Caenorhabditis elegans: one gene and its partner. The protein of the gene in region 2 interacts with the protein of the main gene of each other region in a pairwise test. Each region holds a gene or a part of one and is shown on either strand. Other genes may lie near its edges.

The links.
Region 1: the proteins of F53B3.3 (region 2) and larp-5 interact in a two-hybrid assay, tested with the Caenorhabditis elegans proteins (one large-scale study listed by BioGRID).

What each region holds. Positions count from the first base shown.
Region 1 is NC_003279.8:3,731,376-3,746,564, forward strand, and holds larp-5 (HTH La-type RNA-binding domain-containing protein), read right to left. Parts: upstream 9,111-15,189; 5' UTR 8,960-9,110; coding exon 8,882-8,959; intron 7,384-8,881; coding exon 7,196-7,383; intron 6,104-7,195; coding exon 5,915-6,103; intron 5,319-5,914; coding exon 5,182-5,318; intron 5,122-5,181; coding exon 5,021-5,121; intron 4,971-5,020; coding exon 4,812-4,970; intron 4,545-4,811; coding exon 3,252-4,544; intron 3,192-3,251; coding exon 3,054-3,191; 3' UTR 2,965-3,053; intron 2,329-2,964; coding exon of another isoform or gene 2,223-2,328; 3' UTR 1,485-2,222; downstream 1-1,484. Other genes in the region: T12F5.2 (RING-type domain-containing protein), read left to right, coding at 1-95, 365-504, 551-649, 708-926, 981-1,329, 1,377-1,459; sld-2 (Ribosome biogenesis protein NOP53), read left to right, coding at 10,093-10,180, 10,228-10,427, 10,474-10,527, 10,577-10,720, 10,770-10,849, 10,970-11,153; math-46 (MATH (meprin-associated Traf homology) domain containing), read left to right, coding at 14,214-14,436.
Region 2 is NC_003284.9:2,860,803-2,878,582, forward strand, and holds F53B3.3 (CLASP_N domain-containing protein), read right to left. Parts: upstream 10,336-17,780; 5' UTR 10,259-10,335; coding exon 10,177-10,258; intron 10,094-10,176; coding exon 10,018-10,093; intron 8,944-10,017; exon of another isoform or gene 8,775-8,943; coding exon 8,549-8,774; intron 8,500-8,548; coding exon 8,398-8,499; intron 8,349-8,397; coding exon 8,196-8,348; intron 8,151-8,195; coding exon 8,034-8,150; intron 7,990-8,033; coding exon 7,792-7,989; intron 7,014-7,791; coding exon 6,851-7,013; intron 6,799-6,850; coding exon 6,687-6,798; intron 6,636-6,686; coding exon 6,191-6,635; intron 5,945-6,190; coding exon 5,715-5,944; intron 5,497-5,714; coding exon 5,429-5,496; intron 5,368-5,428; coding exon 5,270-5,367; 3' UTR 5,112-5,269; downstream 1-5,111. Other genes in the region: comt-1 (Catechol-O-MethylTransferase family), read right to left, coding at 337-640, 965-1,354, 1,404-1,503, 1,555-1,629; F53B3.6 (RNA-binding protein 6), read left to right, coding at 3,648-3,895, 3,952-4,669; F53B3.5 (Conserved plasma membrane protein), read right to left, coding at 12,575-12,754, 14,139-14,255, 15,584-15,681, 15,733-15,834, 16,586-16,729, 17,030-17,174.

The DNA of each region.
Region 1 (15,189 bases), on a different chromosome or scaffold from region 2:
TTTGGTGCCAGCTTCATTCTATCAAAATGTAGATATTATTCGAGATGTGAAGTTTAATATGAAGCCAACGTGTTCGATTTGTATGGAAGAATTCGGTAATTTTTGTTTTCTTCTATCTGAGAATATTTCCCATTTTCAGATGCAAATTCTCATATTCCGAAGGTTCTCATTTGTGGCCACTCGTTTTTGTATAAAAAGATTAGTAAAAAACCAGAAAGAATCAAGGAAAACCACCAAAAATCATGAATTTAAGCCGACGCTGTAAAATCATTCATACAAATAAATCCTGACAAGTACATCGTAAATCGACAAACACCAGAGCCGCGTTCTCTCAATTAAACGGATGAAAAATTGAAATATTCAGATGCAATTGTTCCAAAAGATCTTCGTTGTATGACTTGCTCTTCGTGTAAAATGAGTGGATCGGAGACTTCTTTCCACATTTGCCGTGAATGTACGATTCAACATCACGAATACGATATTCATACCTTTATCGATCAGGAGGTAGTTTTCAGTTATTGAAAACAGCCATTCACATAATAATTTTCAGCCTTCAATCCATCCGGACGCATTCACAATCTGCTCGACCTGTGTTCTGAAAGATCACAACACTACTCACCACACTGTCATTGAATATCTTCCGATCAGAGTAAGCGAAACAAATAATCTATTGTACTTATTTTCATTTAAAAAAACCCATATTTCAGCTCAACTACCAGCTCAGAATGAACACAAAAAGTGCGGATGTCCTGAAGACTCGCGTTCACAAGGACTTCTCCGACGCAATGACCATTCTGTCATCGTTGCCGATTCTTGTCAAGAAGAAGGAATGCGAGGTTGCCAAGATAGCGGAATTCATGACAAGAGCCAAAAATACGGAGAGTCTCACTCAAATTTTCAAGACTTTCGAGAGGGAGATGAAGAATGTATGATATAACAAAATTTTTCAATTATCAAATTAAAATAAATAAAATTTTCAGATCATAAAAATTCTGGAAGCTTTGAAAAGAGATGGTGGAAAGCTGAAAGATACCGTGGAACAGACTGTCAAGCGACTTGAAGATGACAATGAGAAGATCGACATAGCACACTGTCTTCAAGAATTTGTCGATTTGAAGGAGCATCTCAAGATTCCAGAAATGGTTCAGATTCCACAAGACACTGATCTTCCGATTATTGACGAGACACTTCAAAAGGAGGAATCCAAAAAATACACCATTGGAAGTGTCATCGTCTCGATTTTCAGTGCAATCTTCAATTGGCTGTGCATGTTCTTCAAATTTATTTCGCAAATGATTTTCGGGACCGGAAGCACTTATTATAAGAATGGTAAGATTCGAATATTGTATTCATGCATAAATTTCATACATTTTCAGTCTCTACTGAACACATCAACCTTCACATCCTGGCTCCAATCTTCATCAATCTCATCTGCATCCTCATCCTCTACGTCTTCTGAGCAATGTTGTACATTTATATTTATCTACCTACTTTGTCAAAATTTTTTATTGTTTCCCATTTCTGACAACGAATTTGAATTCATCGAATAAACCAGCTCAATGACTAAAACAAGTGAAACAGAATTATTAGAGATCCCAATTAAATATTTATAATACTCTCCAAAAAGGTCCCAGATACCAGAAATTGTAAAAATGCGGGAGTCCCGAGAAATGGTTTTTGTGGTGGTGGGGGAATGATTAGGGGGGTTTTTGAAAAACGGAAAAAAATACAATTGAAATGCGGTAAAGCACGTTCGGTTTGGCAACGCAATAATCGAAAGGGGAAAATATATATTAAACAGGAAACAAGTGAAAAATGGGGGGACGGAAAAAACAAACAATCTACGAGTAAAGCAGTTTCGGAGGCTGTGAAAATTGGTGATGATTTGATTTTTTTGTGTGTTGCTGGGAAAATGACCGAGAACAGAAAAGTTGAAATACTACACGGATCAAGAGATAGGACAGACAATGAGGTGTTCGATATGGAAAATAACTACAGAAACGGGGATGGATTGGATCACACGTCGATGGGAAGAGAGTTGGTTGGTTTTTGTGTTGATTGATTGATAGTCAAGAAAAGAGAAATGTTAATTATGTTTGGGGCAGTTTTTGAATAGGTTCATAAAACTAGGGGAAAAGAATGTGGAAAAGCAGACTAGAAGGATACACGAAGGCCTATTTAGGTGTGTGTGTGTGGAATGATAAAAAATTTGATTAATTAATTCATTTTTTGTGATTGTTCTGATATTGTTGTGCCTTTTCAGCGTACGACGTCTTTTTCTCCGGAACGAGTTGTTTGATCTTTTTCAGCCGACCAGCAGCTACGGAACTGAAAATTAGAATTTCAAGGAACAATAAGAAATTAGAATTTCAGAGCTTTTGCATTAAAATACTCAAAATAGGCTGAAATTCACAGAATATTGTTGAAATTAAATTATCGAACCGTGAATTTTGCAAAGAAAACGACGTCGCGCAGAAAAAGAGGAGGGGCGTAATTTCGCAACCCCGTGGCACAGTTTTTCCTCTGACTTTTCGCTCGTTTTCAATTGATTTTTTGTTGATTTTACTCAATAAAGTTCAGATTTTTTTGTTTTATTCCCCTTTTTTGAATGAAAATGGTATCCAATTTAATTCTGATAAAATTGTGAAGATATTTCATGTTTTTACAGCTATTTTAGCATGAAATATCCTCACAGTCTTACGAGAATTGGATTAAATAAGATTTTCATTCAAAAAAGAAGATTAAAACAAGTAAAATCGGCACTTTATTGAAAAATATCAACAAAAAAGCAATAGAAAACGAGCGAAAAAAAGGAGAAAAAACCGTGCCGCGAAGTTGCGAAAATACCCTCCGCCTCTTTTTCAGTGTTTTTTTTTGCAAAATTCACGTATCGATCGTTTGATTTCAGCAATATTTTATGAATTTCAGACTATTTTCAATATTTTTTTTCAATTCAATACACACCTTTTTTATGGCACAATACCAATCACAACACAAATCACATGACAACGATAATAACGATTGTCGGATAGAAATGACAACGTCGTCATCATCTACCTGAACGTCGGTTTTTGTGGCGGCTTCACAGGTTCCACCTTCTTTGGAAGTGAAGGGAAAGCAGTTTCTTCAAAGGAAAATGGTGATGGAGCAGCAGGTGCTGGAGAAGAAGCTACAACGACGGGCGGGGAGCGCTGAAAATAATGAATTTAATTTGTGGAATTTTTGAATTAATTTTTCTTTTCAACACTTACCACTTTGATTTTCTCCGCATCCTTCTCCACAGCCGAATGATGATTCGTCTCAATTTTCGGTTTTTGCGGCAAAGGTTCTGGCAATGGAAAATCGTCAGTTAGAGCTGGCTTATTATTTTCCTTCGTTTCCACTGGTTTTGATGGTTCTTGCGGAGCTTTAGATTCAGAAAATGCCGGTCGCAACACGGGTGGAGTGACTGGAGTCGATGGTGTCAATGTATTAGTTGTCGTGTTCGTTGTGAATGATGTTTCCGAACTTTTTCTTCTCCGGTCAAAGTTTGGTGCAGGCCATACTGGAGGCGGTGGAAGATCCGTTGGTGTAGGAACATGATATTTCGGATTGCGAACCGATGTTTGTGGAGGTGTACTTGATCCAGAGTTAGTCGGAGTTTCGACAGCATCCGGAGAAAAGTATTTGGAGCTCGTACTCGATGAGGAAGATGATGATACAGTTGGACGATTATTATAGCCATTGTGCTGTTGTTTACGTTGACGGGTTTGCCCATCATTTCCCGACCACCAAGAATTGGAAGATTGCCCATTCTGATAATGATTATGATGTCCATTTTCTCCGTTTTCACGTTGTTGACCATTTTGATAATGATTCTGTCGATTGTTATGTTGCTGATAACCATAACCATTCGTCGTTGCTCCATTTCGATTGTTTCCACGCCATCGGCCATTACTCCCATTACTTTGCCGTCCGTTATTTTCACTATAATTATTCTGGAATCTTCCACCATTACCACCACCACGAGAACGCCATTCATTTGAATTCGAGAAGCTGCTACGTGACTCATAATATTGATTTCCACCATTCCTGCTTCCATTGCGATTATTATAATTCGATGTTGTGGTGTGAGTGGAGTTTGACGAGGCAGTCGACATTTCATCATAGTTCCGTGGCGTCGTCGAGACACTTGATCCGTAGTAATATGGTTGTGGAGTATTTTGAAGCAGAGGTGGTTGTTGTTGCTGCTGCTGCTGCTGATGTTGCTGATGATGCTGTGGTGGTAGAGGAGGCACAGGAGGCATCGGAGGATTGTATGACAAGCTGTTTCCAGAGAAGCGGAACGTCGGTGTGATGTACTCGAAGTGGCTCGAAATCGGGTCTCCAGGTCGGTAAGTGGCCACAGGTACAAACCCATAATCAGAAAGCGTTTGCCCCAACTCTCGAAGATGTACTGTGCCCTGCTCGCCGTTGCCCAGTGTCGTCATTTGTCCATTCTCTGAATGTGGCGTCTCTTCTGGTGGGGGAGCAAATGTCGAAGGACCGCAAGTTTTTATACGTGCCTTAAAATTTTTTGCTCGTTTTTAGAAATAAAATTCAAAAGTATACATAGCAGCATGAGTGGGGATTTCGCTTTTAAAAAATTAAAAAATCATTTTGGAATTTTAAATTATGATTGGAAAAAAAATTAAAAAATCGTTATTCAAGTTGGATTTTTCTTTCTTTCGCGATTTTTCGGTGTTTTTTCCATGTTGTTTCTGAATTTAAGACAATTTTGGATTTTTTGAAGCAAAATCCCCATTCACGCTACTCGAAGTTATTAAACTTACACAAACTTGCTTCTGTGTTATTTCATTTTTACGGTGTTGCACGGCAACATAGGCAACTTGAGCGTCCAACTCATTCTCGTAGGTCACGTACCAACCATCATTAACTCCATACTGTAGATCAGTGTACGGTGGTCCATCTGCTATTAATTTGACTACTTCCTGAAAAAAAGAACCGTTCATATTTTGAATTCCTCGTACAGCTGACTCACTTCTCGATGCGTTTCCGGGATTTCTCGGATTAGCATTACTTTCCGCTTGGTGATAGCTCTGACCTTCTCAAACTTTTCGTCTAATTCCACATTTGTTGATTCTGCAAAACATAGAAAATGAAATTGAAGCACTTCTTGCTGGATCATATAATCTCACATACCTTTCAGCGCTTCCACAATCAAATCGACATCCGTAGTCAGCCGCATTATTTTCGGGAAGCCAGCAAGGACATTGATCGGCACATAGTTGTCCGAATCCATTTGGCATTTCAAATATCGGTCCGAGCTCAGATTCTCTCTGAAACGAAACAAAAAAAAATCAGTTGTTTAATCTCCATTTCTCATGTTTTATATAATTTATTTTCTGCCTTCAAAAACCACTAAAACATGTGTTTTTCTCCGGATTGACAGCCGGCATGTTCACTTGTCCTTTGGTCTAAGATCAACTGAGCGGTTTTTGTTGTAAAATAATATAATTTTTAAAACAACAAAAAAAGAATTTTTATGGTGGGCAACATTTTGAGAGAACCAAGGGCAAAAAATCTGAAATTTCGCCAACTTTTCCTTGTCACAGCGACTGCTGGAACATAGTTTTTATTAAATTATCACCTTTTACACGTTTTTATAGTTTTTCTTGCGGTTATTCGTTGATTTTAAGCACATTTTAAGTCGAATGTGAGTAAAAAGGATGATAATTCAATGAAAATTATATTGCACCTGCTGCGACAAAGGAAATTTGGTGATAATTCAGATTTTCGTGAGTTTTGGTTTTTTTTCTTCGAAATTTTGATATGCCATAAAAACTCGATCAATTGAGCTTATTTTCAGCCTGTTTCACTATGAAACTAGTGAAATTTCGAATATTTATTAAATAAAATCGGCACCGGCACTAACCTGGAAAAGTAGTACTCCAGTTGATTCTTCAACAGCTGCTTAATCTCTTCACGACTCAACGGTGGTGGTGGTGGAACTGCTGGCACAAACTGATTCGTTGATGATGATGAGGGCATCGACATCCCCGAAGAAGGTCCCGGCGGCTGGGGGCCGATCATCATGAGTGATGATTTACACTCACGATTGAACCTGGAAATAGAAGAAATTATAGACGTGGTGGAAAAGAAGAGAAGACAACGAATACAACGAAACGGCGAAATCAGAAGAGTGAATCGATTTTAAAAGCTTCTTGTATATCTTTTTGAATCCTAATTAGTGCATTCGGATGGGATGAAGAGAAGAAGCTAAGAAAAGTGAGAGAAATAAAGAACTGACATGCTGTTTTTGATTATGTTTCTCTCCATCTCTCTCTACTTTTCTTATTCTTCTTCTTTTTCGTCTCGGGATTGAAAATACGAGGCGTACGAATGAACGGATGAATGGTGTCATTTGTTTGGGTTTCAGATGTACAGAAACAGGAGTGATGCGTGGGATGTTTCGGAATGGATAAGAGAAGACGATGTCCCGCGGAGTCAGAGCGGTGTCACGCAGTCTTCGGAATGCTTTTCATACTGAGACAATTCGAGATTCTGGGAATTTGCTTTCCTTATTTAAAAAATACGTTTTTTTTGAAAGGCGAAAACTAGTTTAATCAGCAGAATTTTTTTGAATTTTTGTTGTAAAAACTAGGCTTTATCGACATAATTCTCCATTTTCCCATCGGGGATCGCATCAAAAAAACGAAACAAACCGCTGGAATGAGGAAGTAACACAAATTATAGCGATCATGTTGTACGACGACGGCTGTGTGATCTGGTCACTTTGGAAAGATGAGTGTAAGGCGGATGAACGGGCGCGGCGACGAACAAGCGGGGGGGGGGGAAGTAAGCGCGAGTGAGGGGCGATGAAAACCACTTTTGGACAGAGGACAGGGGGACGAACTGTGAATGATGGTGTGCCGAGAAAGGAGATGCGTTCGCGATCGCACAGAGAGCGAGAGCCAGCAATGGAGATGATTCATCAGTCGATACGGACGTTATGAGAGTGTACACAGATCCGAGAGAGTCCAGAGAGAAGGGTGGCAGCTACGCACGCATCATCAGGAACAAGCAGCAGAACAGTTTTTTTTTTGTTGGGACGAACATGAAATAAGATCATGATGCAACAGAAAAGAAATGATAGTCGACAAAAGCGATTTTTAAAAAAGCAGCAGCAGCAGCAACAGTAGCGACGTTCGCTTACCAATAAGGAAGTGGAGGTGGTTGGGGAATACCGCTGGCACCCGACGCTGATGTCGACGGTGACGTGCCTGGTGAGTGGGCGTTAGATGTTCCCACAGAGGAGCCTGGTGAAGATGTCTTCTCCACTGCCACCTTTCCATCGAACTTTCCCACCATTCTTTCAATTTGTGACTTGTCGATTTGGATTGCCTATAATCATAATCCGTATCTTTACTTTGAATGCATTAATTTTTTTGGCATCGTTTTCCCCCATAATTTTGAAAATTAGCTTGTCCTACGCCCACTATGCGAACAATTAGTAATATTTACTCAAAAGTTTTTGCAAAAATTAGAATAATATTTTCCGGACTTGATCAAGCACTAATAATATCGTTAAATCATTAAAAACCCTGCAACTCAAAGGCTGTTGCTAATGATAAGAGTGTGCAATTGATTTTCTGGGAGGGACGCGAAAAATGTGGCTTATCAGAGGTGAGAAAATGGCAAAATTCGTGTGTGCAAAAAATCACGGAAATGACGAATTTCGGGGTGGCGGAAGAGACTGTTTCGTGGAAGAAAATAATGATTTCTCAATAGGGGACGGGAAAAGCTTTAAACAAACTTTGACCTAGAACTTTTTTTTTAATTTTTAAAATTTAAACTTGGAGTAAAGTCAATTTCTAGAAATTCCCGAAAACTAAAAATTCGACGCTGTACAATTCAAAATAAGAGAAAAATTCATAAATTTTTTGTGGGTGCTGTCAATGCGATACTGCCGTTGGAGACACAAAGGAGAAAACATAGTAGGCTGCGGGGTAGCTAGCCTGAGACACGCATAAATTGAGATGTGATGACAGAAGAGGTTAAAGGTGTGCGCGTACATACACATACATTTTTTTATGTCTTTGACCCAAGAAGGACCAGTTCTGGAAACACAATCGATCAGAAGCGACAAATATGCCGTTGTGTGAACCTTCGTGACGTCACGGGAAGAATTGTTTTGGAGTAATCACATTTTTTCCTCTATTATACATTTGTCTAAATTACGTCAGAGTCAGAAAGGAAAAAAAAGTTGGTGCCTATTAATTAAACATCATAAAGATTTGATAATAAATATATACGTCTATTTTCAGAATTCAGTGGCAGAATTCAATGGCAGAATGGGGCAAGAAGTAGACAACACACGGGAAAACTCTACGAGAAATATATCCAGGCAGGTGCAATTCAGCTGCCAGAATACTTAAAAAGTACTTTGGAAACTGTTATTCAAACGGGGGCTTTGCGTCATACGTTTTTAAGCGAAATATACTTTTTGCAGATGCAGAAAATGAACTTTTGAGATGATTCTTCCAAAATATTTCAGAATTATTTTAAAATTGAGAAAAAAAATTATCTTTACTCAAGGAAAGCACGGAGTATTTCTAAAAATTATTTCAAGCAATATTTGAACTCTCCGTGAAATATTATGGAGCGCACGATATACGACTTAAAGAAAAGTGAAACGAGATCCGGTTTTTATGGTATAGGTGCGAAGACTAAGTGAAAGTAGACGTAGAAGTAGCTGACACTTTTCGATAAAAAACCCCTACTAAAATGGGGTTTGTTAACTTTTAAAGTAGCCATTTTATTTTTCTAGTTACATACAAATCTTTAAAGGAGTGTTTCGTTACACAGAGGCACGCCCGAATGCAAATTAGATGACACAAACCTTCTGAACGACAAAGTTTCGCGGTGACACTTCTGTGCAAATGTAGAAGGCGTCCGAGTCGAGCTCGAACGTGTCCATCTCCGAAAAGGGACGTCGACGCCGTGGAGAATGGTGAACGAAGGAGAAGAAGTCAGTATCACGTCATCCGACTTATGGAAGCGAATGGAGAAGTGGGTGGTGGAGAAGAAGGAGCGTAGAGAGGGGCGACGGGCGCAGCAGCAGTGGCCAGACTCTTCTTCTCTGACCGTGTCGTGTCAGCCGGTTTTGTGAGGGCAGAGAGAGAGAGAGACACGTTGAACGACACAAAGAGACGGAGACAACGCAAAAAAAAAGTGAGAAGGGGAATGTGTGCACAATATGGTACGCAGACGACGATGTGAAAAATGGAGGGACGAATGGCAGGCAACAAGAACTGGGAAGAGGAAGAAGACGCGCTTCTCGATTGTTTTTTCTAGAGCGAAAAGCCTGGAATATACTGAAGGCAGCGGACGGGGCTCTCCTGCCATCATTAGGGACCCGCAAGAGAAATGAAATAGAAAAGCAAGGGAGATGGAGAAGAAGTATGGAAACAGAGACATATCCCTTTTCAGCAATTCTTCGATTAGTTCGACAATTTCATGGAGCCAAGGTTTTGGAGTGGAGAGAAAGTTGAATTCAATGAAAATGTCATTCGGCTAAATATTTGATAGAGGAAGATGATGTTAATGTTAAATAACAAATTATTTAGTACAATTCAAGGAATACAGCTTCAAATTAGTCAAATGTTTACAAACTTTACAATAAGGAGTTGAATTTAATTAAAAACCAAGTAGAATTATTTAAAATTTTATTCCTAATATGGAATAAGCACGCGTTTCCTAATTGACAGTTCATATTCTCTATTCATATTATCCTATTCAGAAAATTTCATCAAAATATCAGTTTAAAAGCAAGAAAATACAGAAAAAAGGCTACAAATCTGGAAATTTTCAGATAAAACGTGGAAAAAATATATAAAACAGAGCTGCGATTCAAAGCAAGCGCTGGAAAAGTGTGCGGTGGAGCGCACTTGCCACACATTTTTGGCGCGAGTTTTGAAAACAGCTCCTGGTTTTTTGGTTTTTGCTCTCATTTTCTCTATTTATTTTCTTATTTTCTTTGTTTTCACATGTTTTCTGCCGAATCTTTTCGATTTCAAATTAAATTTTTAAATTATTTTCAGCCCGAACGTAATGGAAGAGTGGAAAACGTCTTTCCGAGAGATTTATGGAAGATCACCAACGGCAGGAGATATTTCTGTAGCTCCGAATCATATTAAAGGTAATTAATGGAAAAAAAAACGTATTTACATTAAATTATTATTTCAGCTATACTTCAATCTGAAAAGAAGGAGAATGACGAGAAAATCGAAGAGAAGCAAGCGAAACGTGGAGTGAAGCGGAAGAATTTCGAAATGAAAATGATGGAAGGCGAGCAATTCAGCCCTATCAAAAAACGAGTTAATCTTAATCAGCTCGGCTCGGAAAATGATAAAAATCCAATTCCACTGAGATCTTCACCCAGAAAGGTTGATATCGCATTAAAAACTGCTGAAATTTAAAATAAAATTGCAGAAAATGATTGCGATCGAAGTTTTGCCGGAAAAGAGCATGGTGTCGCCTAAAAAGGTTTGAAACTTTAATAATCTTTATAATAATAAAATAAACTAAATTTCAGAAGCCAGTGGGATCAGTTCCGTTCGAATTCGACGACTTTTCCCCTGTGAAGTCATACTCCGCGAGCACATCAAAATCTGCCGTTAAATCTACGCTAACACCGATCAAATCTCCAACAAAACGCGCTTACCAGAGACCATTGAGGGTTTGTTTTATTTAAATACTAATTTAAAATTTCCATTTTCCTATTTCAGGATCTCAAAATGCTTCTCTTACCAACGCCGGAAAAGGGTCAAGAAGTTGAAGGTCCGGTTGAAGAATTCGATGATGAGACGTGAGTTTTAGATTTTCATTGAAATTTCGAGCTTTAATTTTCGGAAATTTGCAGATTCCAGGCTATTTTAAGCATTTTTTTGACACATTTCATGCAAATCAATCTATAATTTTTTTTCAGAAACGAAGATGTTGCCAAAGCACGTTCCTACAATCCAGCAGCCAGAAAACTCGGCGGTTCATCAAAAAGCGATCAAAACTTCCAGAAAATCAATCTGAGAAAGAAGCAATTCGTTCGCGGAAAAGTTACCGCAGAGCAGAAGCGAAAGTTGAAGAGAAAACAAATGTTCAAGAAGAAGTACTGAATATTCTAATTTGTCTAGAATTTCATTTTTACATTATTATTATTCGGATTTTTATGTATTTTATTTTATCATTCACTTATCGGGTTTTTCAAAAACCGCAATAAAAGTTTTAAAGTTTTTTTTTTTTAATTGCGTTCTGGGGCAGGAGAACTAAAGCTTCAACTTTTTTCGAATCGGAATTTTAGGGAATAAAAATAGAGTGCATTTTTTTTTGGTTAAATTCATATTACAGAGATGAAATATTGATATTTTGCACGAAAATACTGTACTCGGTCTCGAAGCGACCGATTTTTAATTATTGCAAATAAGTGTGCGCCTTTAAAGAGTACTGTAGTTTCCAATTCCTAATTTTCGCCAAATTTTCATCGATTTTTCATAGTTTTTCTCCAGGTTCTTCAAATTTTTATGTATATGTTTTATGCATTTTCACATTTTTTCGATAAATTTTCAAGAAACGGGGGACAAATTGAGATAGTCAATTAAAATATGGCAGCAACAAAAAATTTCCAACAACAGTACCCTTTAAAACCCGGTCGCTTCGAGACCCGTCTTTTTACATTAAAATCGCAAATTTTCGCAATATAATAAGCAGATTTGCAAATATTTCAGGGTTTTTTAGATTGAAAATAGTTTTGAAAGAGGAAAAATCTCTATTCAGACTTCCAACTTGAATTTTTTTTCTAATTTTTCAATTCGATGCCAAATCCCTTCAACAATGTATATATACAGCAATGTAACCGATAATGTGATATTATCGGTTAACGATTCCAGTTGATGTTGAGGATGCCGATTTGATAGCCAACCGATCGGAGGATGTTTTATGGCTAATTACAGAGAAACCCGCTTTTTTTCTGATCACATTTTACTTTTAGTTTCGAAATGTTCTCCAAAGCATTTGAGAACTTTTCCTAAAGTTCCATCCTTTCCACAACTTTCAAAAAAAAAATCGAGTTTCTGAGAGTTCTAATTTTCCAAAAAATAATTTTCGAAAGCTGGAAACGTCAAAATAGGTTCTCAGTCTATTTGGTCGTGCTCTCATGGTAGGCAGGTCGACCTTGATGCCTACCTACCTTATAGTTGCAGATCTGATATGTGCACAAATGATTTAGGCACAAGACAAGCACAGTAGGCGAAACTCAAAAGCAGACAGTTATCCATGTTTGTCCTTACCTGGAAGTTAGCGCATCCAATTTTTTTTAGAAATGTGTATTTAAAATTGTAGATTACTGAGGCGATACTGTAGTCTTTGTCAATTTCATGCCTGTGTGTCTAAGCTGCCTACGAAGGTATGTAGGTACAAGTGTAGGCAAGAGGCAGGCATGTAGGCATTCTAAGCTTTAGTAAGTTCTTTTACGTTAACTCGAAATAATTGAATTTTCCCTGTTTAGTTTTTATTTGTTGGAATTCTTTATTTAAATAGCCAGAGCACCACGGGATAACATATTTTTGTAAATTAACTGTTAATAATAAAAATGTCTCGAAAACAGTTGAGAATACAGCCATAGGCACTACACCTACCTCATTCCTGCCTGCCTATAAAATCTTACCGTAGCAGCCTTCGTTTTTCGACTACAATTCTTTTTTTTTGAAATTTTCTGAAAATGGTTCAGTTTAGACGGGGACACTGACCCATTTAGTCGATCAGTACCAAGATGGAAGAGCTTTCCGCGCTTGACGGCCACGTTCTCCTTTTATATGAAATATAGGTCCCCCGCTCTCCTCATTCACCAAATCCAAATTTAAAGCAGTTTTCCAGTCCATTGAACACAAAGTAGTGGTGTTTCAAGTTACAAACACAAAAACACTTTTTTTCAATTCTCAAACACCCTCAATGATGACGAATTCCGGTTTGCAACGCGAGACGGTGGCAAAAGTTGTATGGTTCTGATGCGATTAACGCGAATCATTTGGGTCGGCGCCAGAATTCTCTGAATTTGTATAAAAGTTTCGTGTGCTGAAACTGATTGGAACTATAATTTAGAGCTAGAAATGTGTGTTTTTTTATGATTTATGTATATGTAGTCGTATAGAAAGTACGAGAAATATGTATTATTGTTTAAAAACTTGGATCATGAAGTTTTACGAGTTCTCAAAAATTTGCTTGAAATTCTGGGGAAACCATGAAAATAAGGTAGTGCTCAAGCTATTGCTGCCATTGGAAAAGTTTTCCGAGTTTAGAAAATTCTAGGCTATAGTTTTTTGTAACTTTGGGTTACTGTAGTAATTTCTAACAAAATACAGTACAATTTATCAATACAAATAAAAGTTTTAATTGTTACTTTAATTTTCACAATTAATAGCCCATTTCCCATTCTATATGTATAGGACGATAAAAAACTAACGAATGCCCCCAAACAAATAGACACCAACATTAAATATTCTCACTTGCAAATGTCAATTTCTGCATCCTCACAGCAAAAGTGCTCTATTTGTCTTGGCACCGTGCCAACTATATTTGAACATTTAACGACGCTGGACGGGAGAACAAAGGGGCTTTTAATTAAAAATTCTGAATTTTTTGCCCCACATTGATCTACTTTGGCAGTTTGTATCTCGGCTCTATTGTGCTTTATCAAAAAATGTTCAACTGACACAATACTTGTAAAATATTTATCTACATTCTTTAGTTTATCATTTTTTGACAAAACCAAAAAGAACCGAGAAACGAGCTGTCAAAGTAAATCAGTGGGCGTGCAAATTACTGGTAATATACATAATGAAAGCCAATTTGGAACACCTCGTGATTCAAAAATTTAAAATTCATAAAAGTTAAAATTTCTGGAAATTAAAAATTAAAAATATCTCCATGATTTTGCTGTGTTTTGTTCTGAAGCTTCGCCAATTTTATAGAAATATTCATATCGTTTGAAAATAATTCAAATTCTCGTGACCTTCCCAGAATTAAACAAAAAACTAAAATTACACTTACGTTTTTTTTTATTTACATCATAAAAATTTCGATTTCAATTTTATTGCTTGATTTTTGGGCAAGCTCATCTCTTCTTGGATAGTGGTTTTCTGTGAGGAAAAATCGTCAAAGTTTACCAATTCTCCGAAAAAATGCTCAAAATTTTGTTGAATCTCTTGATGTTGTTTGGCTCGCCGATACTATTGCTGCTCGTTCAATGTGGTGGAAAGAAGAAAGCAAAATCGGGAAAATTGACAAGTGAAGGTGTTGAGGAAGGGGATTCTGAAGATTCCACAAAGGATAAGAAGAAAAAGGGAAAGAAGGGAAAAGGTGAAGGCCTTCATTCCGAGATGACAAACTTTTTGGGTGGCAAAGGTTCTTTGGGGGCATAGTATCCAAGGAGACAAAGGATCCAGTAGACAAACTGGGGTGTATCTTGGGGGGCATATCTTTGGTGACAACCTTTTTTTCCACTAGATTTTTATATGTATTTTTCAACTAATTTTTGTTCACATTTTTCTGGAATAAGTTTTTTAATGCAATTTTCAATCGATTATCGGTTATAATTCCCTCACAATTGAATGTATGAACGATGGTCTTTTGGGAAAAGCTGTAAAACGTCCAACTAACTTGGAATATCGTGAGGCTCTTCCTGATGGTCTGATCCTTCAGCTCCGAAGGATCACATGGGTACCTTCTGATGTTCTGATCCTTCAGATAAGAAGGATCGTAAGGGTACCTCCTGATGGTCTGATACTTCAGCTCCAAAGGATCACGAGGCTCTTCCTGATGTTCTGATCCTTCAGCTCCGAAGGATCACATGGGCATCTTCTGATGATCTGATCCTTCAGATAAGAAGGATCGTAAGGGTACCACCTGATGGTCTGATACTTCAGCTCCAAAGGATCACGAGGCTCTTCCTGATGTTCTGATCCTTCAGCTCCGAAGGATCACATGGGCACCTTCTGATGTTCTGATCCTTCAGATAAGAAGGATCGTAAGGGTACCTCCTGATGTTCTGATCCTTCAGCTCCGAAGGATCACATGGGCACCTTCTGATGATCTGATCCTTCAGATAAGAAGGATCGCTAACTTTTAAATTTGAGTAGTCAATCGATTTTTAGTTTG
Region 2 (17,780 bases):
GTGGACAAAATCCACCTTTTTCGACAATTTAAGTTATGAACACAATTAGTTGCTTTAAATAGGTAATACCAGCCTAATTGTTTTGTGAAAAATAATTTTAACATACAACTTTATAGCATTCACAATCAAATTGGAATTTTTTTTTTTACAAAAAATTATAATTTTGAGTGTAAAGTATATTAGAACAGCTCGGATATGGATGCTCACAATTAAATGTACGTAGGTAACTTACAGTTTCCTATAACTACCATATAAAGGTGCAAAAAGTATAACTTTTCCATTAGTTACCTATTACCTATTGTTACCTAGTTACCTATCGTGAATAATGTACCCCACCTTATTACAGCCTGCGAGGTACTTGTCATTGGGCGGGTTGTGGTAGGCCAGATTTGATATTGAGGCTTTGTGAAAATTTTTTGTGCTTCTGTAGCTGGCAAGATAGTCTTCACTTGAGTTGTTGGTGGAGATGTTGTAGTTGGTTTCGTTGTCGTTGAAGGTTGAGCTGTCGTAGATTTTTCAGTTGTTGAGGTTGGAAAAGTTGAAGTTGTAGTTGTTGGAGTTGTAGAGGTGGTCATGGGAATGTTTGGTGAAAATGTAGCATATCTGACTCTTTCAGTCGTTGTTGTAAATCTTATGATGTCTGAAAGTTTTGAAATATTGGAGGGAGGAAAGTTTAGGAAAAATCCAATAACTTTATTTTGTTGTGCACACCTGATATTTCAATCTGAAATAAAATTCTGTCCGAAATTTCTGAAGTTTTTGCATATGAAAATTTAGTACTAAATCCTGTTGATCGTTAAAATTCAAAACGTAAAAACTGTTAAGAATTAATAGAGAGCCCCATAGATAGAACCCCAAAAAGTGTGTCGCTGCGTGCAAACTCAACAGGATTTAATACTAAATTTTTAGACTTATTCTAGAATAGTTTTGGAACTCATTCCCCCACACTCTAACAGTTTCTCACCGTCTTCTGTGGTAGTGTCTTCAGTGGTAGTTGTAGGTTTTGTTGTCTTCACGAATTTGATAATCTGCGGTTCGGTAGTGGTTGTATATCTAAATCGTGGTCTGGGATCATAGGTTGATGTAACTTCAGGGACTGGTGTGCTTGTAGTAAAATGTGGCGTAGTGTAAGGAAATGTGAAAACAGTGGGCATTGGTCTTGGAGTTGGCTTGCTTGTTGTCTCGGGCTTATCAACTGGTATTATTTTCGGGCGAAATCTTTTCGGCGTTTTTGGTAGTGGAGTTGATGTTGTTAGATTGAAAAGCTCTCTTAAATTCGTGGCTATTGTCAACTTATCCTCATTCCCAATTGCCGATGAAAGGTATTGACCGATGTTATTGAACAAGTCTTTTCCTGAACCTGAGAGATTAAAAAAACGTCAAAAAAAGTCAGTTAGAAGTACCAAATTCCAAAAATGAATACTGGGAGTCTGGCTCGTTGAAATCCAATTTTTCATGAAACGCAGTTTGTTTCAAGGTTTCAAACATTGATCCCAGATTAGCCTTAATTTCATTTATACAGTTTTGCAAAAATGGAAGAAAACATTGACTTACAAATGGTAGCCATATAAACCCGTCAGCAAATCCCACTGACGTTAGAATTAAAGCAAATGGAATAACAAGTCGCATTGTTATTAGCATCGACTGTTGAGTATGAGCCCTAATCTAGCAAACTGTCTAGGATGAGAAAAGAGCTTGTCAAAAAATGCTTCCCTTTTCTCGTTCGCGTCGTCTCATCGTGTCTTCCTCCGTTTTGACAGCTCTCGCCGTGACATGCGATGAAAAACGAAAAAGTGTTCGGTACGAGTGACCCGTGTCCACATGCGCTATCGAAAAGCAAACGGTTTCGGATCGAGTCGGATCTTTAAACTACGATTGGGGACTGCTGTGAGGACATGAAGTTTTGGGGGATCATGTTACAGCATCCTGTACTTTTTACTGTGTACATAACTGTTATTTTCGTAAAGATTTTTAATATAGACAATATTTTTGAACCGGTCAAGCGGTTCTCAGCGGAAAAAATCATTCATTGGAGAAACCTGTTCGGATGGGATGTTGATAAGAATTGGTTCCGTTCTAAATGAAAATTATCACAGCTTCTTATCAACATTTCCGCTTCATCAATTTTTTACAAACCAAAAGAACAAATATGTGCAATCATAAACAAATGAAAAACAATTGAATGTTTCTTTTTAATTACCATGATAATTTTTATTTGGAATTTTTTAAAATACTAGTCGAAAAGTGGGTTGCACCACTTTTTCACTTAAAACAAAAAAAAGCTTCCAAAATTTTATGAAAAATTTAAGAATTATTTATATTCAGTTGTTTTAGCATAATATGAGTAGTTTCCAATAATTTCCCCACAGGACGTAGACCGCCTTAAAATCAATTGCCAGGTGCCTAAAAAGTGCGTTTTTCTTAAAGATGGAGTAGTGTTAGTAGGGATTGGATTTAAGTACACCTACTATGGCGCTACTCCATTTTTGAGGAATTCAAAATAATTAAAACATTACAATAAAACGCTCCAAAAAATTTTAGATTATTTTAAATTTCCAGCCCAAGTTTTGGAAAAAAACTAAAATTTTGGAATGACATGAGCTTTTACGGATATTCAGAACAATGTCGCATTTTTGGATCCCTAGAATGTTTTACAGAAAGAACTAAAACAAAATTAAAATATATGAATTAAAAAAAAAAATTTTTTTTGGTCGACTTCCAAAGTTATGAGTGGCAAAACTGAGTAAATGATTTTTGAAAAAATTTCTATTTTTTTAAAAACAAAATTTTACTATGTTACTAGTGTTATATGATATCTGGACATTTTTGCACTATGGGAGTAGTTTTTAACAATTTTCCTTCTGATTCGACTCCACGTTTAAACTTTAATAATAAATTTGGCACTTATGGGTTTTGTTCCCCCAAAAATGTTTTAATATTCCCAATTTCAAATTAAACACAAAAGCGTGAACTTTTTGGAACGATTTGTAGAAATTAATGCTTTGTTCTTTACTTTTGCTCACGTTTTTATTTTAAAGGTGGAAAATTATATTTTAGAAAACCAAAACATTTTGGAGGGAACGAAACTCATGAGTATCATAAATTTAAATAAACTGAATCCATAAATCGCTCTACACTTGCTTCTCAATTGACAGATCTCTGATTACTTCCTTTTAATAGCCAGTCATCAATAACAACTTGTCACTGATAGGTGTTAACCAACATTCTATCTCTTCACATTCTCCCCGCTGATTACAATTTCATGAGGACTGGCTAATATTCAATGAAGGACAGAAATTAGATGAAACACAAGGCGGCGTCGTGTGTCGAGAAACAAATTTTTAGCGTGGCTATCGTCGATGGTTCTCGAAGAGAAACAAGGAAAGCGCCACGCCCGTTTTCTCCGCCGTTTCCTACTCGCCCAACCGACGCCGTCGCCTTTTTGTGAATCAGCCCAAACTCCCCCACCCCATTTTTTTTCTCGGTGTAGACGCTTTGCGTTTCTGGGCGGCACGCATACACGTATTCCGCATCGCCTTTTCTACTAACCGAACGACCGACTTATTTTGTGGGAAAAACGCAATATATCCATCACTACTTGCTGTCTACAAAAACACGTCGGTTCATCGTCAACACTACTCCCGGCGATGAATTACGATCGTCGTTTCTCGCCGGGGGCTAACCCGGATTATTCGAATCGAACCATGAACTACCGTGACTCGAGATCACAACAAATCACTCCACGTGGTGGCATTGATTCACGTGTTCATGCATATGGCAGAGAATACCCACCACTAAGATCCAGATCTCAAACAAATGTTGACCAAGACTACGGAGATCGCTTTTCCCAACCTGCACCATATTTTGATAATCGAGGGCTTGATCTGAAATCCAGGTAACTTTTTTTTTTCAGAAGATTCACTGAAATTGTAATTGCTCTCTCATATTCAGAAGTAAATCATTGGACACCAGAGAGTTTCGAGGACATGATGATGGGTTTCATCGAAATGAATATCCTAATGATGGTGGAGTTGTCATCCCTATTCGCCGTGACATTGGTCGTGATCCGCAGTATGACTTCCGTTCGTCCCCTCAAACACGTCACAGAGATGCCGAGCCTTATGGATTTGATGATCGTCGTCCACAAGCAGGCCAAGATGTACACATTCCTTATAATCGAGATATTCAGGAACCAGTAAGGGAGCCTCTCGGAAGAGACCGTGACTTTGTTCCTAGAAGATCATTTGATGGAAGAATGGGTGACAGTCCAAAATCGTATTCTTCCCGATTTAAGGAGCAAGCTACGAGAGATCGCAGAGCCCTGGAATATGGTCGAGGAGGATTCGGAGATGATTTCGAAAGAGAAGAGTATGGAGCAGTGCAGCCATATCGTGGACCACCTGGAGGCGTGGTAAGTAGTGGAGGTGGCGGCTACCGATCAAGCAGCCATCACCGATCTCATCACGAGTCACACGGTGGAGGACACGAGTCGTCATTTGGAGCTTCACGTGGTGCAATCACTCAACAGCCACAGGTATATCATCAGGATATGAGACCGGTTCGACCGGTGCAACACCATCGAGTGCAATGTTGTTGCTTCAAATTTGTTTGGCCACCATGGAGCTACGAACAAGCACCACCACCACAGCCAATTTACAGAAACATCTGAAAATCTTGCTCAACCTTGACAATGTTTGATATTCTTCATTTTAATCTGTATCTAGGCTCAATTCTTTGATTTTTGCAACTCTATTTACACCCGTGTTCCTCAATTTCTCCATTCAAATTCTCAAGTTCACTGTCGCTGCCAATTCTTTTTTTTTCTTATTTTTTTTCCGAAATCCCACAAATAGTCAAATAATAAAAAGCATCCTAAATGATATTTCCCCAATTAATCAAGTTGGGGTCATGATACTGTTTGATAACAAGGCAAATTGTTGGCGGCGCGAAAGAAAACGAGCGAGAGAGAGAGAGAGAGAGCGTTTCCTAATTCCAATGGCCTTGTTTTGGGTTGCACGCAATCGATTCAGGGTTATCCCATTGATGTCTTTCAAATCAATTTGTTGGAGGTTTACCGTGCAAATAAAATTAGGAAAAATAAAAAGACAAAGAAAAAGGGTTCATATATATGTTAACAAGATTTTTATTTTAAATATACAAAAAAAAGGTATTTAATTTGAACAAGTCTTAAGCCTATATTTGAGCAAATTTAAAATTTAAAATTATTTTCGGGATACACTGTGGTTAAATTTATGACAAATCGGTTTCATTACAAATGATAAGTGGCTTCGCGATTTTTTGGGTTTTGGTCGGCTTCATAGTCATACAAGTAATCGAACTGGCTCAGAGCATTACGAACATCTTCTCCTGAAACTTGGTAGGTTTATATGATAATGATTAAAAAATCTCTATGAAGTATTAATTTTACCGTTAATGCTTGGGCTCCGAAGTTTTGCACGACTATTGCTGCGAGATTCATTTGGAGTATAGTCGAACCTAAATGTGAAAATTACACATTCAAGGCAGTTCTGGGAACTTAAAATTCTATACCCCACGTGTGCTCAAAAGAACAAATTTCGTAATGGGAATCTCAAAAATTTTTCAAGAATTTTTATGGTGTTTCAAAATTTCGAAAAAAGCCTAATTTAACTAAAATCTTAAATTTCGGTCACTTTTTGGTGGTTCAAAATTACAATAATTTTTATATTCCTTACTTTGACGTTTTGCTCACTCTCCGTGGCCCGGCTCCGACTCCACTTTCAATATTAATCGGAACATACACCACTTGTCCATTCTCATTACTGTATGCAACTGGCATATCGAAATCATGAGTTCCGGACATTGAGTTCTGAATTTCCAGAGGAGAGAGGGGCCGGCTGGAGCCTTCGTGATTTCCTGCTGTGGCGTACAGGGGCGCTGATACAGGACGATTTGATGTGGAGCTCTGAAAATTTTCAAACTTAAATATACCGGACCAAAACGACCGAATTTCATAATGAGACTACTCAAAAAATTTCCAAAAAAAAATTTCGAAAACATACACCCCAATTTTCCTAAAATCTGAAATTTCGCTAATTTTTCTTTGTCACCGTAGCTGGAATACACTTTTTTTGCCCTTTATGGCGTATTTTAGTAGTTCACCTATAAAGAAAAGTTGGGAACATTTGCAATTTTGAATAATAAAACGTACAGTCACTTCTCTTGGTTCCGGCGACATCATTTTTTTGTTGTACACTGAACTGACAACTGGCTGTTGTGGGAACAAATATGAAAATCCTGCGTGAGGATGCTGAGCCTCAACAATCGGAGGATCCGCAAATCGTGCTCTTGGAGAAAGTGCACTAGATAGTCGTCTAGACGGTATGTCAGCATCTTGCTTTATAATTGGTGAAACTGGAACTGGGGACACTGCTCTGTACGGTGTTCGAGACGCTGATGATGGTGGTCGTGCAGAAACTGGTCGAAGTAGTGTTCCTGGATCATCGTCGCGGATGGCCAAGTCATGAACGCTTCGAGACAAGGTTTTCACTTGTTGGATTGGGTGATAATGGACTTGCTCTTTTTGACTGTTATTGCCAAATCGTTTCAAGCCGCGTGGCGCCATTTCAGGAGAATCATTTTCATACTCTTCCCTGCTGGAAACAAAATTTGTATACCTCGGCTGTTATCAATACTACTTTACGTACTTTTCTCTGAAAACCATTGCACTTTCACTTTTTGCTCGCCTCATCGCACCGAACGGCTCTCTTCTCTCGGTGGCGTAACCCATTCTGGATGGTGGTATTGGAGAAGATGGTTCTGAAATTAAAATTTAGAAATCAATTCGAATTTTCAATGTTTAATCACTTACCAGCATAAGAACCATGCGATAATGTTTGTGATCTTCGGTCATAAGTCAAGCGTGGGCCGCCACCTCCTTCAAAGTAATAATTGCCGGCAGCTCTTCCACCGGAGCCAGCACCCTGCTTTCGGAATCTTTGACGTTCAACGTTTTTAACGACGGATGTCACTGGCTGAAATAAAATAAAATAAGTTACCTTCTTCCGGCACTTTTGCCCACAAAATAAGAATTCACATTCAGGGTTCATCACTATTAATAGGTCAAAAGGTGGAATAGCGCCAGTGGAAATTTTGTCGAAATACACTTATAGTGATCCAGAACTATCGAATATCATGATAAAACAATCCAAAAATTTTTAGAGTTTTTTTAACTGCCAAATTTTCTGTTTTAACGCAGTTTAATAAAAATGAAGAGCAAAAACCGTAGATTTTTTTGGTCGACTTCCAAAATTATGACTGAAAGAATACTGAGTAGTTATCACTATTTGACAGTAAATAAAAAATCTCAAAATTTTTTTGAGAAGTTTTCATTATGCCTTTTCTTTGCTGGAACTTTTGTAAAAAAAAATCTGAATTTGTATAACACAAGTTGGACTTTTAAAACATATATTTTGAACATATCAGCTGCTTGAATTTATTTTTGAGCAGTACCCGAGGTTCTAAGAAAATTGAAAATTTCATCAAGATTAACGGGGTACAACAGCGTTTTATCTTGGGGATTCAAAAGAAAAAGGGTATGTAGTTTAAATTATTCTATTAGGCTTTTTCGTATAACCAAACGTACCGCGGCGAAAGCTAAAAATTTCCTTTCATTATTTTACCTATTTTGATAGATACAACATGACTTTTTGTCAACGCAAGCAGACAAATTTAAAATCTTTTTGTACATCTTGAACAATACAAAACTCATATCGCAATTTATTATGCTATGAAACCTAACAGAAAATTTACCATGATCTTGGAGCTTGGAGCATGCCTCCGACTTCTTTCCGATATGCTGCTTCCGTCCACTTCAGAAGTTCCATAAATGTGGTTATGCTCAACGGTGGGTCCCGACCCTCCAACATATTGGTTCAGTGATTTCCACGCGTTCAACTCATCGATCAAAGTGTCCATTCCGCCGTAGGATGAATTCGGGTATCCAATGAGCTGGAACAATTTGGCGTTCAGAATACGAACAATAGGTAACCTACTTTTTCGACAACTTCTGGATTGTACTGGGCTAATGACACTTCCGATTTAACAAGTGCTCTGTGCACTGGAGTTGGTGCGCTTGCAATCAACTTGTTGAAAAGTCTAGCCACAAGGATCTGAAAATGGCGAAAATCTACGAAATGCGCCGTATTATTTTAGACCTGAATGTGAAGTTTCTTTGTATGAAGACCATGTTTGAGTTGTGCTACAAATATGGAAAACCTCAAATAGTCCCGATTTCTTGCTGCCAAAACAGTCAGCGCCCTCAATAAAATCACAAATCCTTGCGGTTGTTCTAGTAGCAGAAGAAGAATCTGCAGAGAACGATATTCTAATTTGTCAAACACAACGATAAACGGCAACCTCGAGTGAGTAACATTTGGAGTCCAGCTGAGGCGAATGAATAGAATACATTATGGCATCCAATCCGGTTGATGTTTCGAGAAATGACTTCCATGTTGATTCCTATGCAAGGTGATAGTTAATGGCATGAATCTTACAAATTTTCACTCACTGATTTCTCAAGTAACAGTTTGATGCTTTCAATGCAATCGGCCTCAGCAACAGCTGCCTTTCTTTTTCGATTGGCATTTGTCGAATTTCTATTGAGCAGGTAGGAAATTTTCGATCCAGATCCTTCAACACTGTTCACAATTCCCTGCAGAACAATCACCACTTTTCCGAGTAGTTCAATCCCGTTGATAGGCTTTGATACAAACTCATGCGAAAAATGTTGAGCCCTGGAAACAATTGAAATTCATGTCGGAAGCATACGTCAGACAGGAGCAAATATTGTGGTTCGGAGGAGTTAGCTATCAGTGCGTGGGGGGGGGTGGGAGGTTTTAGAACCGGTCACTGTTGTATTTACTTCTCAGTCGGAGTTAAATAATGGCCACGGGAGTGCACAAAGTTGAGCGCGGGAGGTACCGCCAAATGGATAATACGATACGAAAAAATGGCCAAAAAAATTTAAATAAATTTTCCTTGAGGGAATGCATTTTTTAAAAATACTAATAGAGCAACGGAAAACCTTTCTCTTTTAAGAAGTAATTGTAATACTAGCTAGTTTTTGAAACAATGCATTTTTTCGGCTAATGAATGTAAAAGAAACCTTATAAATTAATTAAAATTATGTGAACAAACAATTGAAAAACTGTTTCTGTTTCTAAAAATAATTTTTGCATTGAAAAATGTTATATCACACTTTGTCTTAAACATATCTATTAGTGATAAACTACAAACTATGTTTAAAAAAAACCGGTACTTGTGTTTTACATGCCCTCATTTTAAAATTCTACTTAATGTTCATTCCTTTCTCCATTGAAATTTAACGTGATATTCATTTTTTTGGGCTTAAAAATGGTTATTACCTAAGCTCAAAAGTTCAAAAATATGCTACAGTGCATTGGTTTTTCCACGCATTTATGCGGAATGGTCTTGCTGCGCGCGTAATCATCATTTTTAACAGTTTCTGTTCAAAATTTGCGTAGATCACGCGTGAAAGCACAATTAATTTGAAAGCAACAGAAATACAAAATATGAGATAAATATTTTGTGATATACATGTGATCTACGCGAATTTTACCCAGAAACTGCTAAAAATGATGACTAAACGCGCGGCAAGACCATTCCGCATAAATCCGTCTTCCTTTAAAGTCGTAGAAGTGAAAAATCAAATGCACTGTACACGCTTAAATTTTTTATAACTATGTAATACACATGTACCAAAAATTCTAACAAATATTTTGTTAGTTGACATTGTTGCATTGTAAATAAGTTGTTAGTAAGTTGCTAGTTGATTTTAATGATACAATCGACAACTTAGGTATAAGCTGTCAAAATTGAACATTGCGCTCCAATATACTAATAGAAAACACTGTCATTTTTGTAAATTTTAATCAAACTTTTTTTCAAATTTGTGAAGAAAGTTCGCTTGGAAAATGTTGGAACATCAACGCCAACAAAAAATTCAAAACTACTTACTTTATTGAGTCCGCTAAAATTTGGTCTTTTAAAGATAACAAAACAAATCCAGCATCTGATAAAGATATACCGCTCCCTGAAAAAAGTGCCTATTTGGTGGTGGTTTTTAAAAGTGTTCAGTTTGAATACACTCCCGTCTTGTCATGGATATATGTTTACCTGAAGGAGTCGAATCCGGATTCTGAATAAACCTCCGTAGTTGGTCGGCAAGTACACGTGGCGAGTTGACATTTCGATCCATTATTCTCACTCGGTTCTTTTTGCCATTAACATGAGGGGAGCCAAATGTGTCGAGTCTAGTTGGGTGAGGCAGGGAAAAGGCTAAGTGGTGGTTAGGAATCAGGCTAGGTTTGTAGTGAATGCTGCTGCGAGACGCGATGTGTGTGTGTGTGTGTGTGCCAGTTGAAAGCAAACAGTACCTCCGATGAAGGCTTGAAGACTCGGGGGGGGCCTGCTGATGCTTCTGCAACCGTCCCCAATACCGGTGAGCGGAAAGAAGTCGAGAGTTTGCCAAGAAACACTGCGACACATTGTGAACGCAAACGAGAGGGTAAACATAATGGGAAGCGGAGGTTAAGCAACTTACTGACAGATTGGTAGGTACTCACAACCGGTAATGAGTTGCTTTCAGTTTCTGCTCACCAATCAAAATTCTTATGCGAAAATTTTTTGTTTTTTGATCCGGCAATTAACAATGTTTTTAGCAGATGATTTTTTTTAAATAAATTAAAACGTAATAGTTTTAGTATTCTCAAAAACAAATGGTACAAACCAATAGGTACCAAAATTTAATTTAATTCATTTTTCTACCACTGATTGCACTCATCTTCCATCTGTTAATGTTTTTGTGCTACCTTCTGATTTCTGTAAAACCTATAGTATAATTTGAGCATAATTTCAAACTCCGAAACTCATAACATCCAATGGTATTCAATTTTTTCGGCAAATGAATGTAATAAAAACTTTGTGCACTATTTCATTCGTGAGCTAAGAAAATTGTTTGATCATTGGTAGGTAAATGGAGAAAACACCCTCTTGATTTTTGAAATATTCAGCGTCTGTAATTTTACAATTTCATAAGAGAAAAAAGAATTTATTGACTATAAAAAACTGGCAAAAAAGACCGAGTTTTTGCCACTTTTTGAGAAAACTTTAGTTATGTCGCATGTTTTAATCCTTGCAATATTTAAATATTAATTCAAAAATAATCACAGCATAAAAATCAAATAAACAATTTTTATTTGATCGACAACTTCCAAAAAGGTGGCAAAAACAGACATTTTTCCAATTTAAAATCATATAAAAATTAGATTCAAAAAATTACCATGATACTTGTTCATTTTGGCTTCATATGTATTTTGAAACAATTTCCCCACTGGTGCTACACCACCTTCAGCAATATTTGTCATAGTTTTGGTAAATTGTCAATTTCACAAAACAATTAAATATTACTTTCAAACAAATTTTAAAATATGTCGCATTTTTCAACCCATAAGTATTTGTTTCCGTCCACCAATAAAATTGTGAGAGACGAAGCAAAAATTGAAAACTTCTTGGGTCAGGAAATTTGAGAACAAATTGATCGAATAATTTTAGCGTACATTTATTAAAGTTGAAGTAGCGCAGGTAGGGGTTTTGTCTAAATACACTTATAAAAATCGAATATCATAATAAAATGTTCCAAAAAAATTTACATTTATGGAAGTTTTCAGTCAAAATTTTGATAAAATGCTAAATTTAAAAAAATTGCTTTGAAGGAAATTCAGAGCAATGCCGCATGTTCCGACCACAAAATGTTTTAACAAGAGTAATACAAACAAAATTAAAGTATAAAAATCGTTGAATAAAATCTTTTTTTTGCTTTTTTAATGATATATTGGACGTTCGCATGTTGTCATAAATAATAAATTATTGAATCATTTTCTTACAATCAAACTGATTTATTTAGATACTTTGGTATGAACTGAAAAAAAGTGTTTCACATATTTAAAAGTATGAAAAAGTGAAATGATTAAATGGGAACTGAGGTGTGGCATATTCGAGTATCGATTATCTTTTAAATTCATTGTGCTTGCTGAACGAACTGAACAAAAAAAGGGGGCAGATGGCATTTTGAATAAGACAAGTGGGAAAAGGAGCACCAAGGGTCTTCCATCCAAACTCGATAATTTCAAACAAGGAGTGGCAGTACAAAAATGAGAAGACGGACATAAAACGGATTGGGGATTGCCAACAAAATCAGAACAAGAAAACACTAAACTCAGAATGACAAAGTTGAGAAAAAAACATTATTAAGTAGTTTAGGTACATTATGGGGAAACTGTGACAAATGCGATACACACATACACAAAACGGCAACAATTTTTGGTTGGCAAGTGGAAGAGGAAGAGGATTACTGGAAGTCTAGACTTTCCAAGAAAAGGCTAGAATAAAACTTCTGACATTCAAAAAAAACATAGAATTTGGTGAGAATATTCGTGATGGACCTCGTCGTTTCTTGATTGAGTACTATAAAAATTTAGAATAAAGGGCTTCTTTGCAATATGAAGAACACTCTTTAACGTCCATAAGTCATGTATCCATAGCCAGCAGTGTTGTATTGATTGTAATATGGGTAGCCACCATATCCAGCGTACGTGTTGTAGTTGTATGGCACAATAGTTCCAGCCCCCTTGTCATAGTAGTTTGGCATCATGTAGGCACCGTGTTTAGCTGTCAGCGCGTCCTCCTCTTCTCTCTATCAAATAATAAATTCATTAGGTTAGCTGATGTTAATCGTCTAAATAGTCAAACAATGTTCTCAATCTTCAAAGACCTATTCCGATGGGAGATGACCCAATTTTCAACAAATTAAGCAATATCTAGTGCCTGGTGGGAAGCGTTTACTATTTTATTTTGTCCATTCTAATTGATGATAGATCAATAGATAGAATAACAACAAAAACAAAAAGTGTTTTTTTTGGTAAGTGATATAAAGTTTTTAAAATAGAATGTATTGATTGGAAATGTTTTCAAATGAATTGCATAATGAAACATCTCAAAATGGCGGGTTAAAAATTTGAAAAAAATTTTCTTAAAATCTCAAATTTTGGCCATTTTTTCCGTGTTGCAGAGGTCCGAAGTTGACCTTTTGTTTTAAATTATCATCCTTTATCGCATAGTTTGGTAGTTTATCACACGTTATTTCGTTGATTGAGAGACATTTAAAGTCAATAGGTGACTAAAAATGAATTTTTATGATAAGTCAACTTCCGACCAATGCGACACGGAAAAGCGGCCAAAACTGGAGTTTTTAGCAAAAATTTTTAACCGAAATAGAAAAAATGTTGAAATACTTTTGAGAAGTTTCATTTCAAAAATTCGTTCCTTTCAGCACATTTTGAGTGTCACCGATGTGTCAAAGTTTTTTGAGAAATTTATGAAGAAATATTTTTATTTTTGAAATGAACTTTACTGTTTATTACAAGTTTCAAAAATTTGCTCAAAAACCGCTATAAAAGTCAAAATGTGTGTGACACTGCACATTTTGGGTTCAAAATAGCCCGAATCGTTGCTCCATCATTTGAGTTCAAAATTAAAATACAAATTTCTTCACACATTCGCGATAGAAAAAGTGACTGCAATACTGATTTTGATAGATTTTTCATATTTTGGGATCACTAGTTTTTTTTTCTAAATTTATATAATTCGAGTTTTATGGAAGTTGTGGACTGGTATTTTTTTTTCTAACTATCATCAAAAACTAGTCTTCCAATTTTTGTTGTGTCTCTCAGCTAGAAAATGAGCGGTGTCAAAGTAAGTTCAAAGTACACCATACTTATAAAGAAATTTCTGTGAATGTAGTTTCCGAACACGGATTGTCAGAAAATCTCATTTCATAGTCATGCATGATTGCCAAAACGGTTGCCAGCATGTCTGTTTTCGGGGAAAGTCGTAATAATTCTTCTCAAACAGTTATAAGCGGATGGTCTCTTCCTCCCCCTTCCGCGCAATCCAAGGACAACACCCTGATATTGTGTGGTACACCATCCGAAAATTCCATAGAAACCGAAAGATATTTATCCGAACGAGATAAGACTAGACGAGGGGGGGGGGGAGGGGTGACATCTGCCACTACTAACCTTTACAGCAGCGTAGGCGAAGAACATGAAAGCACTTCCGATGACAATAAATCCGATTCCGATCCAAGAGACAATGTAAGACCATCCGTAGTTATGACGGGACGTCAATTTGAGAATCTGAAAATGAAATCAATTTGTTTTGGTTTTTTTCCTACATAGACAATATTATAATTTCTGATACCAAACGTTTGGCGTTGTCTATTTGATAGCTCCAAGTTGTTAAACCGGTTCTGAGTATTTTGAACGAATATACTCAAATTAGAGGTGTGCGGCAAATTTGTCGAATTTGCCGAACTTGCCGTTTGCCGTCCTTGGCAAATTTGCCAAATTTGCCGCACACTCCTGACCCAAATGCGCAAAAATGAACGGATATCGTAATGAACCGTGTCAAAAATTGTAAGAACTTTAAAAAAAAATCATGGTTAAAAATTTCGAGTTTTGGCAACTTTTCTGTGTTGCAGTGGTATAAAGTTGATTGTTTTCGAATCATCATATTTTATTGCACATTTTAGTAGTCGGATTTTTTAAAATTAAAGTACATTTAGAGCCGATAGGCGGCTTTAAATGCATTTCAATCAACGACATAATGTAAGATCTACTAAATTATGCAACAAAAAAAAATGATAAAGCAATAAAAATTATTTTCCAACAACTGTGGCACGGAGAAGCTGGTAAAATTTAAGATTTTCGACAAAATGGCCTAATTTTTTTCAAAATTTTTAACCGCCATAAAAAGTTTTTTAAGCGTTTTTATTTTTTAGGGTCTAAAAGTTGAAAATCTTTCGAACCGTTAGTCCTGCTTATTATTTTATCACTTCGATTTTTACAGTTGCAAAAAAACAATTTTTAAAATTTTATAAACTGAAAAATAACTCTGCAATAATTTTTCTATCTTACTGATTTTCAGGCTGCAAATATCTCAGATCTTTACCAATTTTAATTTTTTAATTGAAATGTTTTTAAACGTTTAACAATTGGCAAATTTTGCAAATCGTTTTTTTCCAAATTTTTTTCCAATAAGTACCTAATTTTACTTTAAACATTTGAACTTATGTATGGCTAATTTGTTGTTTTTTTACCAACCCCTAACAAAATTGAAACAAAATTTAAAGTAGCCGGACAATTGTTTCCACAGGACTTTCACTCTTCTTCCAACACTTGATAGAAGTGTCGACATGATGACACAGGGAGAGAGTCGATTCTGCTTTGCAAATATCGGCAAACTCAAGTGACTACGCTTATCTTGGATGGCATGCCTACGTAATTTTCACCGATTTTGTTTTTTTTGTTGTTGAAATAGTGAAATAGTGAAATGAAAATTATTTCAAGTGTTGTGGGGTAAAAAGTGATACTAAAGAAAGTAGAAAGTGTGACTTGAATAAAAATATGTATTTAAAAGTATATAAGAGGTTTTTTTTGATAAACTAAATTATTATATTACTCACCGGCTCCCAAGATTTGTAGTATGGCTCTACATCTAATGTGTATCTCTCACTGTAAGCAACGTAGTGCCAGAGAAGCATAGCCACAGACATTGAAAGTCCTGAAAATTGAACATATCCAGTTTTTTGTTTCAAATCAGTAATTGTTTTACCAGCAAGGATCAGAAGAATTCCGGTGCTCATAATGAATTTTTTCGATCTATTCCAGCATCCGATGAGTCCGACAATAAAGCTCAACACGACGAAAACAATACCTGAACAAATCAAAATGGGCATTAATGTCAATATTTGGCTTACTCGCATCGTGACACCTTATAGTACTCTATTGTACAGGTATTTGTATGGATTGCGTCTAATCTATTGCTAATAAAAGTTAATATACATACAATAGTCCGTTGGAAAGTGCTTAGAAATATTGTACAAATTTTTTCTTGCTAGCAATTTTTTAAACTTAATTTTAGTTGAACAAGTAAGTAAGTCTTGAGAAATGGCTCGATCAAAAAATATATGCTCAAATGAACTAATTTTGTAATGTAACTTTTCAAAGTTTTTTTCAAAATTTTTAATGGTGGTTTCAATTGAAATTTTGAAAATGTTACGCTAATTTTCGCTAAAATCTCGAACTGTGCTCACTTTTTTGTGTCATAGCTGTGGAAATTTACTTTTATCATTTTTAAAAAAATCAAATATTTCGGTAATTTATCTCAATTATTAAGTTGATTAAGGTATATTTATAGCCCATAGGGGTAACAATAGGTAACAATGTTCATTAATTTTTGGTTACCTATCGGCTTTGAAATGCTTTAATTAACAAAATGGCGTGAGATAAAACATCAAAATCAGCAATAAAGGATGAAAAAAAGTCAATCTCAAACCGCTGCGAAAGAGATCAAAATTGAAGATTTTAGCGAAAATTAGGCTAATTTTTTGAACTTTTGACTCACCATAATTTAAAACTGTAAAATTTCAAATCAGGTCTATACGTTCCTTTATATAACAACTCACCAACAACATAAGCAATGATAGTTGCTTTTGCAGCATAATGACGGTAAAGTTCATTGTTTGAGAAGTGCTCCTTTTTAGACTCTGGAACCATGAACTCGTTGCTCCAGATGCACGGAGAGCCCATTTTGCTGAAGCTTCCAACATCTGAAAACTGCCCATTTTTCTGATTTTCCGCTAAAGAAAATCTATTGTTTCAACAATTACTTTTATTGGTGTTAACCTTGGGGGGTTTTATTTTATTGTTAGTCACTTGTAAAAAGTAACCACGTAACAAGTAACTGGTAACAAAATCGAGTCACACACATACACACACACACAAAGACACTTCATTCTCCTGTTTTCGTTCAACATGACTGGTAAGGTCGTCAAAAACGATTAGCACTTTTTTTTTTGGGATTAGACATTTGTAGTATAATACAAATAAGTTCAGAATGCGTAACCAACCTTGTGGAACTGTATCAGGGAAGCAAAGATTGAAGAGACCATAGTTGCGAGAGAAGTAGATGTTGTTGTGACCAAAAGCATTTTGAAGGCGTAAACTCAATTCGGGCTCTCGTTTGAATGAGTTTATGATTTCTCTTCGATTCACCTGCAACGAAATTACATTTTAAAACGGACAATCTTCTATCATGTCTCTGAACATAAATCATTCTCTTTGGACTATTCTAATACGGAATTTGATGAACATCCTCGCACACAAAAAAGTAGAAGAAAAACCATCTTCCTGTTGTATATCCTGCATTCATTTATTGTTACTTGCCCTATTCTCCGGACTGTGCGTTTCTGACCTTGTCCCTCGTCAAAATGCCTTTGCCCTTGCGCATGTCTCACGATGGGACCTTAATGAAGGTAGGAAAAGAACGTGAGCAACAGGACCAGGGCGGCTTACTGCCCGGCCAATCCAATTGCCTCTCTGCTACAAGGGGCCGGTTTCCTTTTGAAGCTCCTTTCGAGCATCGCGCGCCGGTGTTGTGATGTCAACAAATAAAAGTATTCGAGGATGGGGAGGGGGATAGATAGTGAAGCGGCAGATGCGAACAGGACAAAATCGGGAAGTGGAGAGGAGCAAAATTGGAAAGAGCTTAGCTCACTTTTTTTTTTGTTTTCATGTCTGAAGTGTGAACCGTGGTTTTGTCATGTTTCGGCGGATTCAAGATGCACAAATTTGAAAGGGAAAGTGTCTGTTTGTCAAATA